Cricetulus griseus: one gene and its partners. The protein of the gene in region 2 interacts with the protein of the main gene of each other region in a pairwise test. Links are inferred from orthologs where the notes say so. Each region holds a gene or a part of one and is shown on either strand. Other genes may lie near its edges. The genes, in order: leukocyte receptor cluster member 8 homolog, Atn1 and Siah1.

Region 1 (3,747 bases), on a different chromosome or scaffold from region 2:
CCAGACTGCTTTTTCACTGTCTGTAAGAGAAAAGATGAGTTAGGCCAGCATTGGTGGCACACGCCTTTAATCCCAGCACTCGGGAGGCAGAGGCAGAGGCAGAGGCAGAGGCAGAGGCAGAGGCAGAGGCAGAGGCAGAGGCAGAGGCAGAGGGATCTCTGTGAGTTTGAGACCAGCCTGGTCTACTAGAACTAGTTCCCGGATAGTCTCCAAAGCCACAGAAACCCTGCCTTGAAAAACAAAAAACAAAACAAAAAAAAAAAAAAAAAAAACAAAACAAAACAAAAAACAAAAAGAAAAGAAAAAAGATGAGTTAGGAAGACCCAAAGAAGCGAGTATGTTGGATCCCATAAAAAGAACAGGCAGGAAAGACAGAGTATCTCACAGAAGGAAGCACTGGCAAAGTGTGAAAGAGAATTCAAGCACCGTAACCTATGTCTGCAATCCCAGCACTCTTTGGGAGTTGAGGGCCCTGCTTGGTCAAGTGTTGAAATCCTGTCTCTAAAACAAACAGCCAAAAGAGTGGAACAAAGAGCCTTGAGCATGAAGACACTGAATTCCCTAAAACACAGGGTGTCAGAATAAAAGACAGAGGAGATGGTGAAACTGTCATTCGAAGAGCAGATGAGGGGAACCCAGGCCCGGGGATGGATGGGGAGACCTCAGTCCTGGGCAGGGATCTAAAGAGAATCCCCAGAGTACTGACATGGATCCGCCTGCCTCTGCCTCACCACCACCTGGGCTTTGACAGGGATTCTGGGCTGGTGGCGGTGGGAGGAAGGCATCCCAGCAAGTAAAGTCTTAATAATCAGTCAATAAAGTATTAGCTATCCAGAAGTCTGGCAAGACTCAAGTTTCTAAGGAGCATGGAGCGGAGACTTCGAGGAGAACACTGGAGAACAGAGCCAAGTTCCCCCAAGGAAAGGGACCTCTCTGGATCCCACTGAGGAGCTTCACAAAGGGGAGGTGGGGAAGGCTCTCCCTGTGGGAAGGAGGCACTGGCTGTCAGCACCTCAAGCAATTCGAGTCCCCAGAGGACAGAGAGGAAACCCAGTATGGGTTGTTCCTAGGCACAGGAGCTGCTCTGGGAGAAACAACAGGCAACCCCTTGGGGAGGGTGTCTGCAGATAACCCTTCCTTTCTTCCTTCCTTCCTTCCTTCCAGGATGCCCCTGTGGGTAGGACTATGTACGTGTGTGTGTGTGTGTGTGTGTGTGTGTGTGTGTGTGTGTGTGTGTGTGTGTGTGTGTGTGTGTGTGTGTGTGTGTGTGTTGTGTGTACATGGACTGGACGGTGGACAGTCCTGAAAGAAACGTGAAAAAGACTGGGGGGAGGGGGGCTCCGGGGACCCAAACGATAGGATTTACAGAGAATAAGTCCATTGAAGAACCCGGTATCTTACAGGAAGCCTAAGGAGCGCTGAAAGGCCTCAACGAGCTTTCTAAAATAAATAAATAAATATGACAGGCCTCAAAGAGCTTTCTAAATCAATCAATCAATCAATCAGGCCTCAGAGAGCTCTCTAAATAAATAAATAAATATGACAGGCCTCAGAGAGCTTTCTAAATAAATAAATAAATACGACAGGCCTCAGAGAGCTTTCTAAATAAATAAATAAGACAGGCCTCAGAGAGCTTTCTGAATAAATAAATAAATAGACAGGCCTCAGAGAGCTTTCTAAATAAATAAATAAACAAATGACTGTTGGGTGGAGCCGGGGGTGGGGGTGTCAGAACTCGGGGTGCAGGCGGGAGAGCATCAGGAGTGAGGCCTGGGGTGGGAGGGGGACAAGGGGTCTGACGGGCAAGGACGACACGGGCTCTTATTACAAAGACTCAGGAGCACCTGGCTGTCCCGCAGGCACGGGGGTCCCCGACACCCGGTGGAGGAGACAGAGGCCGCCCTGAACCCACGCGACGCCCCCCAAGCTGCCAGCCCCGGTCCCCGCCCGTCCGCGGCCAGCAGCCAGCAGCCAGCAGCAGCCAGCATCCACCAGCCCGGCCCGGCCGCGCCTGCGCACCACCACGCCGCCCGAGGGCCTCGCTCCGGGTTGCCCGGGGCAACGGGGCGGCGCGCGTAACAGCCGGTCAATGGGGAGGGGCGGGGCCGCCCAGGGGCGCGTGTGCGCACGCGCGGGGGCGGCGAGGGGGAGGGGCCCGCCGGTTACGCGCGCGCGCGCCTCGCCCGACCCCCCCCCGCCTCAACCCCCTCCCCCCCCTCCCGTCACCGCACAGCGCGCATGCGCGGCGGCCACACCCTTGGCGGAGGCTGGGTGCGGCGTCGGTTAGGCTCCCCCAGCAGGCCCGGGCTCGCCGGGAGCGGCGCCGGGAGGAGTTGCCTGCGCCCGCCCGTCCCGCCCGCCCGTCCGTCCCCGCCGCTCCTCACACTCACCAGGGCCGCTCGCTCCCGGGGTTCGTCACCGGCGGCCACCAAGGCGGCGACAAGACAACCGCGAAAAGCGCTCGGTCACCGGCCGGCTCGGCTGGGGCTGCAACGTCCTGGCCGCGACGCGATGGCGTCACCGCGACGCCCCGCCCCGCCCCGCGACGCCTCGCCCTCCGGCCGTCCCGACGCCCGCCCGCCCCCGCCCCCGCCCTCACCCGGCGCCGCGCACAGCCAATGGGGTGTCACGGCTCGCTCGGGGACCCCGCCCTCCGCCCGGCGCGCCCCGCCCACGCCCGGGCAAGCGTGTGGGCGTTTGGTGGGCGAGCCGGAAGCGGGGCGTGGACGGCGGCCCCGTGGGGACAAGCGCCGCGGGCGCTCGCGGTTAAGACGGTCTAGTTTGGAGCCTAGTCTTTAGTCGTGAGCTGTGCAGCGCCACGGCTTAGTTTGTTTGTCTGTCTGTCTGTCTGTGTTTAAAGGAGTGGGATGAGTCTTTGAGTCTGTCTTGGGGATGAGTCTTCCCCACCCGGTAGGCTTTGCTGAGTGAGTAAACCTGGCTGGCGTGGGCAACAGTGAGTGCGAGCCCAAGCAAGCGGGAAACAAGCCATCCATTGAGGAGCCGGAGGAGCCTCGGGGCTGCGACGCCGGAAAGGTAGCTGGGGCGCAGGTGTAGGGAGAGGAAGCCTACAGAGCCGGCTCACAGTAGGATTTTTTTTTTTTTTTTTTTGTCTTTTTATTTTTTGGTTTTTGAGATACGGTTTCTCTGTGTAGCTTTGGAGCCTATCCTGGAACCCGCCCTGTAGACCAGGCTGATCTCGAACTCACAGAGATCCCCCTGCCTCTGCCTCTGCCTCCCCAGTGCTGGGATTAAAGGCGAGCATCGCCACCAACGCCCAGCTCACAATAGGCTTTCCTTAAAGCTCTCAGTTTACAACAGCAATGATTGAATTGTGCCGTCCCAGTAGGGGATCCCTGTTAAAATCAGTCAATGAAACAGTACCTTACAGCCCGGCTTCTGCTCCCAGTTGGTACTGGCGACTTTTGGCAACTATGCAACACAAATAGCTTTGTATCATTTTGTTACTATTAGCACGCTAGGGTTTCTTCCCATCTCTCTCTCTCTCTCTCTCTCTCTCTCTCTCTCTCTCTCTCTCTCTCTGTGTGTGTCTCTTTCGTGTTTTTTTTAATAATGAACTTTTATTTTAGAATAAATTTGGGTTTACAGGGGAAAAAAGTTGCAGAGATAATACAGGAGTTAGGTGTAGTGTGTGCCCAGTTTCCCCTATTGCTACCACCTCGGATTCACCACGGTTTATTGGTTAAAAGTAAGAAACTGACATTGCTTTAATACTCTGCACTAAGCCGC
Region 2 (3,539 bases):
ATGGGGAGTCACGTTGAGCATCTGCAGCCTGGCCAGGGGGTCATTGCCCAGGGCCGCCACCCTTTCTGCATGCTGCCTTTCGGCTGCCAGCCGCTCCGCGTAAGACATGTCAGGGCGCAGGGCTGGCCCCGCTGCCAGCGCCAGCCGTTCTCGCTCCAGGGGCCCCAGGCTCGGATGAAAAGGGAAAGGATGCAGGCCAGGTGGCCCGGGCTGTAGAGCCAGGCCCCCGTGTCGGGGGAAGGGATCCAGGCCTGGCCCGGGGACCCCATGCAGGGGTTCTAGCTCACTAGGCTTCACCTCAAAGCCAGGCTTGAGCCGGTCACGGAGGTCACGTTCACGGGCTTCCCGCTCCCTTTCTCGGGCAGCTGGGTCGCTGCTGTACAGGGCTGGGACATTGTAACCCAGAAGCCCCGGGTCCACTGCCCCCAAGGGCACATAGAAGGGGTGGTTGCGATTGCCAGGAGACATGACGTGAGGTCGGGCGTATTCGCTGAGAGTGCGCAGGGCTGGAGTGTCAGGACCCAGGTAAGGGGGCACTGTAGCCACGGCGCTGCCAGGCTCAAAGGGAGGCCGATGGGGTACTGGACCCAGAGATGGGCACTCCACCGGCGCACGGCCCTCCTGGGCCAGCTTCTGCAGAACACGGAAGGGAGCGGAGTCAGAACTGCAGTTTCGGAAAGTCACCGACCCCAGGCCGCCCGGCACGGGGCTCGGCGGTGGAAAGCCAAAATGCCTCACCCCACTCCCAGCTTTCTTTTCCTCCTGCCTGGAAGCCCGAGCTTTCTGGGCTGCAGTGGCTCCTCCCCTCCGCCAGGTGGCGAAGCGACCGGAGCGGCGAAGCCCGGGGCCGGGAGAGGCGCGCGGCGCACCTTGTGACGCACTCACCACACTGCGCTCCAGCTCGCGCTCTTTCTCGCGCTCGCGCTCCTTCTCGCGCTCCCGCTCGCGCTCGCGCTCCTTCTCCTCGCGCGCGCGCTGCTCGGCCTCGCGCCGCACCTTCTCCACCAGGTCGGCGCGCTTCTTGGCCAGCTTGGAGCCCTCCAGCGGCACGAAGTACAGGTCGCTGCGCGCGCACGAGTTGAAGCCGCGGTCCAGGTGCTTGTTGAACCTGCCGGGCGCGGAGGTGTGAGCCCCAGCCCCGCAGGCGGCCCCCACCAGCTGCTGTCCCCAATCCTAACAGCACGGTGACCGAGGGGCGCGGGGCCCCCGCCTGTCGCCCTGCGGCGTCCGCTCCCAGGCCCACCCGCTCCCAAGCCCTCGGCCGCTCACCGGGCTGACTGACTGGCGTGGCTGGGCACGTCCACCACCTTGGGAGGAGGAGAGGGGCTTCGGGCCGGGGGCACCGGACTCTCCGGGGTCTCATAGTCTTCAGCCGGCTCCTGTTTGATCTGCGTGGCAGTCAGGGGCGGCCCTGGAGCTGGGGCCGCGGGCGGTGGAGGCAGGGATGGCAAAGTGGAGGGCCCCGCAGGTGGCAGGGCCCCTGGCCCCACGGTGGGTGAGCCTGGCTTGAAGGTCCCAGGGCCGGCTGGCGGAGAGGCGCCCCGAAAGCCAGGTGGGGTCCCTGTTCTGAAGGAGGGCGGTGACCCCGGTTTGTATCCAGGCGGGGTGGTGGTCTTGTAGGACCCCGGGGATGGGGCTCTCTTGCTGTACTGCGGGGGCCCCGGTGGCGAGGCCGTCTTGTAGCCTGCTGGCGAGGAAGCCACGGTGGCGATGACAGTAGAGAGAGTAGCTGAGGAGGTGGTGACTGGAGGAACTGGTGGGAAGGGGTAGTTTGCCCCTTGGGGACCCTGGGATGAGGAGGGGTGTGAACATGAGTAGGAGGCTTGAGAGGAAGAGCCCGAAGAAGAGTTGGAAGAGGAGGAAACCGGGGGGCCATTGGGACCTGCTTGGCTATAGGACACCTGGCCATGAGGTGGAGGCAGGTGCGCTGGCCCTGGTGGGTAGGGCCTCAAAGACCCCAGGGAGGGTGACATGTTATAAGGGTGTGCGTGATGGGAGCTACCGCTCTCTAGGGGGTGAGGATACGCTCCAGGTGGTGGGGGCCCAGAGTTTCCATGATGGTGTTGTTGCTGCTGCTGCTGCTGCTGCTGCTGCTGCTGGTGATGGTGATGTGTGGGGGCTGGTGGGTGGCCTGTGGATTGGCCCCCAGTAGGAGGGTAAGGGCCTGGATGGGTGTTGTTGTTGGCCAAGAGGCGGCCATAGGGAGGAGGTGGTGGAGGACCCTGGCTCCACACGGCCTGGGATGGGAGAGAAGGCTGGGTATACTTGGGTGGCTGATTAGAGACAGACATACTTGTTGGTGGAGGGAAGGAATGAGGGTAACCGGGCAGAGCCTGGGACGCTGGGTACTGGGAGGCAGACGAGGAGGAGGAACTAGAAGCTGCTGCAGAGCCACTGGAGGATGAATATGGGTACCGCATTGGGGGTCCAGGGGCAGAGGAAGAAGAAGCGGGGGGCAAAGGGTGGGGTGAGGGAACCAGAGTTGGACCCTTCTCTGGGCCAGGAGGAAGTCCACTCATGCCCTGACCCATGGCATGGGGAGAGGGCAGATGCCCAGGGATTGGCTGAGCCCCCACGCCAGGAGGAGAGGCTGAGGCATTGTTGAGGGGTCTCAGGGCGGGTGGAGGAGGCAGGTTTGGTGTCACGTGGGGGAAAGTGGCCGGGGGTGGAGCAGAAGGTAAGTTCCCCCCACCCACTGGAGCATTAGGTGTTTTTGTGGGAGGGACACCACTGGCCCCAGAGCTTGATATTGGAATTGGGGTAGTGGGTGGCGGATGCTGCTTGCCTCCACTAGGGGCACCCACTGAAGAGGCAGCTGCTCCCCCTTTGGGACCCATAGGGGGTCCAGTTAAAACTCCTCCACCAGCATTCCCAGGGTAGAGCTGTGGGTGTGGGGGAGGTGCTCCAGGAGGTGGCCCCTGGAATAATCGAGATGCCGGTGGCTCCATTGGAGCATGATATCCAGTAGGTGTCACAGAAGGATGGGGTTCAAAGCCAGGCTCTGGCTGTCGGGGAGTGCTGTCTGGCGGTGTAGGGGAAGGAGGAAAGAGTGGAGGTGGGTAGTAGGGACGAGCTGGGCCCTGGGACAGGCCGGAAGATGAATCGGAGTCATTCTCCACACTTCCAGGACTGTAGATGCTGGGGGATGTGCTTCGGTTATCCTGATCTATGTCCCTAGGGTCACTGCTGCCATCATCATTAATGCTGCGCCCATCCAAGCTGTCCAGATCCGAGGGAGACTGTGGTCGAGGGAGCTCCTGCTGTCAGGGAAGAGGGCTCAGTTTTCCTCTTTTCCTCTCCCTTTTTCCAGGGATCCAAACCTATCTCCCACAGTCATTTCCTCCTCACAGCACTGCTGTGTGATGGGGATGCTTGCTCAGGGCCACCTTCTGTCATCTAGCATCTCCCTCACCCACATCTCAGCTGCTTCCTAATACTCAGATTATTCCCTTCCTTGTCAAACTCCAGTCCTTCTCTAGGGCCCATCTCAAACACTGTCCCTTCTTGCCGCAGACCCTTCTTGCCATCTCATGTGTACC
Region 3 (3,747 bases), on a different chromosome or scaffold from region 2:
CAGCCAGTGACAGTCAAGCACAATAAGCTCCTTTCCCCAGGACTCTGCCTCTGGGGAATTTGGCAGGGTGCAATTTATCTCAGACGTTGACAAAAGATCAATGTCCTAATAGTGCACTCCCTGAGACCACACTAAATAATATAGTAATTCTCCCAGTTATAATCACTCTGTTGCAAAGACCTTTAAGTTTCAAAAAAACTGAAGTTACAAATGTAACCAAGTCAATACAAATGGAATTTTAGTAGACAGTAACATTGTAAATAAGGGGGCTAAGAGCAGCACTGGAGGTTTAATTTTTTTTCTTTTGTTACTAAAGCAATACTAGCAAGTTCAAAGGGCAAAACAGTACTAACAAATGTTTAGCTTGCCTATATCCCTTGGTTTCATCTCCAACACATACAGTATGACAAAACTCCACCACAACAGCTCAGACTCATGGAGGAATACAACATGAATTAGCTCTCATCATCTGAAGCCCTGTGATCCAGGTGTCATAATAAAATGGCCCCTCTGTATTCTACTTTCCACCTGATCAAATTCTTTATGCAGCTGATTTATCCACTTTAGGTCAATGGCCTTGGCATTACCAAAGCCATGGGTTTCCCATCTGCTTCACCATGTTAACTGTGGCTCACTTAAAAGAACACAGATTTTGGAAAGTGATTTCTCGAAACAAACAGTTCCGGTCACATCAAAGAGCTCAGTTTATATTTAAACACAATATAGCCAAGTTCAGAAGAAAAACACTAGCCCAGTGCTTTGACCTGGCAAAACACCTCTAACACTTATCAGTGTAAGTTTGGGTTCATGTTACATCGTATTTTTATTGCCTTCCAAACACTAGAGAAAGCACACTGATATTCTACCCAGCATGATAAACAAAATGTGGTTGGAAGTATGACAGCACAGATAACTGCTACACCATTCCCTAGTTAGAAGGATGGAGTGTGGCTCCATCTTGAGCCACAAAGCCTCTCATCCACAAGCAGCTGCAAGGTAGAAACCAAGGACAAGTCCACAGAAGTCTGGACACACCTGAAAAGCTAGATTTAAGCAGGAGTTGCCACAGCTCCACTGAGCCCTCAATGCCGACTTTCACCAAGCCTAAACCAGAATCTATGGATTCGTGCAGTCCAGTTTCTGTCTCGGAAACAGATGTGTTTACGTCAGTACCTTTCCTCTTCCTGGTCCTGGTCCTAACTGTCGGCAAGCATGCGAGCAGGACTCCCTTCCAGGAATGCAGAAGGGGTTCGGGCGGCTTCCAGGTCATAAGAATCGAGGCGTCAGGTTCCTGCAAGCCACAAGGCCAGCCTGCACCAGAGGACCCTGCAAGGCCCTTGGCTCCTAAGCATAGAAGGCTGCTCACTTCCATTCAGTCTTAAGACCTGTCCCCAGGAGAGACAACACCTCCCATGAACTCTAAACTGGGTGGTCAGCAGAAGATGGCCAGCAGCTCTGGCGTCCTGCTGCTTAGGCTCCACCACCTGGCAGGCCCTGGGGCAGGGCCTCGAGAAGGGGCGGACCTCGCTCCAAGCCCCGCCCCACAGACCACCTGGACAGCTCTGGCAGACGCCACGGCAACATGAAGCCTGTGCACTTGGCAGCACTTAAGTCCCGTAGAACATGTTTCCGGAGGTCAGGATCTCAGTGCTTTCCTAAGTCTCTAGGGTAAGAAACACACAGGGAGGAAGGGAAATGCGCAACCAGGCAAGCACTCCTAATGTCAGCTTTGTCCTGTGAATTCTCAAGAAAAACATTCCCCCCCACAACTCACTCAATATTTCCAGGCCTCAACTACTATTTTCCTCAATTCTAACTCTGCCGCTTGTGTGCCAATCTATTTCAAATGCCCCCTTCCAGTGCAGTGAGAATGTAAACACACTCAGGGCATGTAAACCTCCACTTCTACCTCCAAATTGAGGTTATATATTCATCCCACTCTGGGAAAGTTTTCTTAACTGGCCTCATTAAACTAGAGTAGCTTGCCTTGTTTTTAAACAAGCACTACCCTTGGCCCATAAAGTCCTATACACTTCAGACCTGGATGGTGTCAGCTGAATCTTCAAAGCTTAAGCTGGTATTACATCACACTTAGGACAATCTTCAAATACAACCAGAAACTGGCAGTGAGTGCCCCAATACAATGGGTTTCACACACCTTCTGCAACTTCAACTCCAACCACTTGCCCACCTTTATTGTATTCAATCACTTCCACCTAACTGTTTAATACTAGACTACAACAAACAGCTTTAAGAACAGAAATATAAACTACACATTCTAAATTGCACATCAAGCCTATTTTGGCATTAAGTTTAAATAGCTATTATCTAAAAGGAAATAAATAGTATTAATGCCTTTAATTTTGTCACAACATTTTTAGGGCATTTAGCCACATTTTGTTGTTGTTCTTTTGGGAGAATTTTTGTTTGTGGAGGCAGGACTCACTCAATCATCCTAGACTACCACTGATTTCTAAGAGTCTGAAAATGACTTTGAACTTCTGATAATCCAGCTTTCACCAACTTCCAGTGAGTACTGGGACTGCTCACCACCACACCTAGTTTTGTGTGGTGCCACACCTTTGGAAAAACTAAGCAAGCACTCCACCAACTGAGCTATGTCCCCAGCTCATATACATTTGTTAATGTGCATGGGTGTTTTGCCTGCATGTGTATATATACACCACCTGCATGCATGATGCCAGCAGAGGCCAGTAGAGGGCATAGGATATCCTGGAACTGGAGTTTGGACAGTTATGAGCCATTATTTAGGTACTGAAAAACATCCAAAAGAGTAGCAAGTGCTCTTATCTGTTGAGCCATCTCTCTAAGTCTTGCACTCTTTATTTAAAGAAAATAAAAAGGTAGAATACCAAGACTGCTCACCCCTTAATTTCCCTAAAATTCTTAGAAATTACATGTTTATTATAAAGTTACAATGCTAAGGGTTATAGATGAGTGATGTGAGGTCTAAACCCCGAAGACACGTAGTTAACTGAGGTGCTTATTTAACATACAAATTGGACTTGGCTGCCAGGTTTTCCCTGCATCCCTCAGTCCCTACCTGTTACAGGGTATGGCTGGCACACCCCACCTCCTACCCTACATTTCTCCAGCCCAGGGGCTGAGCTGCCCTTCCCTATATAATCCAGCCTTTTTGGTTACATGCACACCCTCACTGTCTATCCTGTACTCTCCTGGCTCTCCTCCCCCCCTTTCCTCTCTCCTAACATGACCTGGCTCAGGGTCATGTTCACTCTGGACTCTCCTAGATATCCCTGCCTCTGGCTATGCTCTCCCTTTTATCTATAATAAACCTCCCCTCCACCATACCTAGGAGCAGTCATATCCTTCCTTTTTAATTTCATTTTTTTTTCATTCATCCGGTACCCACAGCCGGGAATGGCATAGATGAGCTCCCTTCCAAGTACCTGGGCTGCTCTGAATCAAGCTGCTGATTTGCCTCTCCTAAGGTTTGTAGAGATCACTTGTTTCCAATAACTCCTGTCATCTATCAAATTTGACCCCAAATTCTAGAGTCCGCTGTCTCACTACTTCTCCCCCAACGCCCACATGCTCTAACCACGCCTGTCCTTGTCTATGCCATGAATGTATCTCTGACTCCTAGGGCCTTCTCCATCTCCCAAGGAACCCAGCCACCTGGACACTGGCCTCACATCGCAGCTCCACCGGCTACATCTGTCTGGATCTCTACCAAGGACACTTACCGTCTCCCTTTTCCCCTGC

What was found.
Region 1: the proteins of Atn1 (region 2) and leukocyte receptor cluster member 8 homolog interact in a two-hybrid assay, tested with the Homo sapiens proteins (2 studies listed by BioGRID and IntAct). The link is inferred for Cricetulus griseus from reciprocal best matches to the Homo sapiens genes ATN1 and LENG8.
Region 3: the proteins of Atn1 (region 2) and Siah1 interact in a two-hybrid assay, tested with the Homo sapiens proteins (2 studies listed by BioGRID and IntAct). The link is inferred for Cricetulus griseus from reciprocal best matches to the Homo sapiens genes ATN1 and SIAH1.

Annotation. Positions count from the first base shown.
Region 1 is NC_048602.1:22,406,980-22,410,726, reverse strand, and holds the start of leukocyte receptor cluster member 8 homolog, read right to left. Parts: upstream 2,533-3,747; 5' UTR 2,391-2,532; intron 21-2,390; 5' UTR 1-20.
Region 2 is NC_048601.1:21,659,235-21,662,773, reverse strand, and holds part of Atn1 (atrophin-1), read right to left. Parts: intron 3,261-3,539; coding exon 1,270-3,260; intron 1,109-1,269; coding exon 886-1,108; intron 634-885; coding exon 1-633. UniProt on the Homo sapiens protein: Transcriptional corepressor. Recruits NR2E1 to repress transcription. Promotes vascular smooth cell (VSMC) migration and orientation. Corepressor of MTG8 transcriptional repression.
Region 3 is NC_048596.1:162,344,212-162,347,958, forward strand, and holds the start of Siah1 (E3 ubiquitin-protein ligase SIAH1), read right to left. Parts: upstream 2,581-3,747; 5' UTR 1,373-2,580; coding exon 1,174-1,372; intron 1-1,173. UniProt on the Homo sapiens protein: E3 ubiquitin-protein ligase that mediates ubiquitination and subsequent proteasomal degradation of target proteins.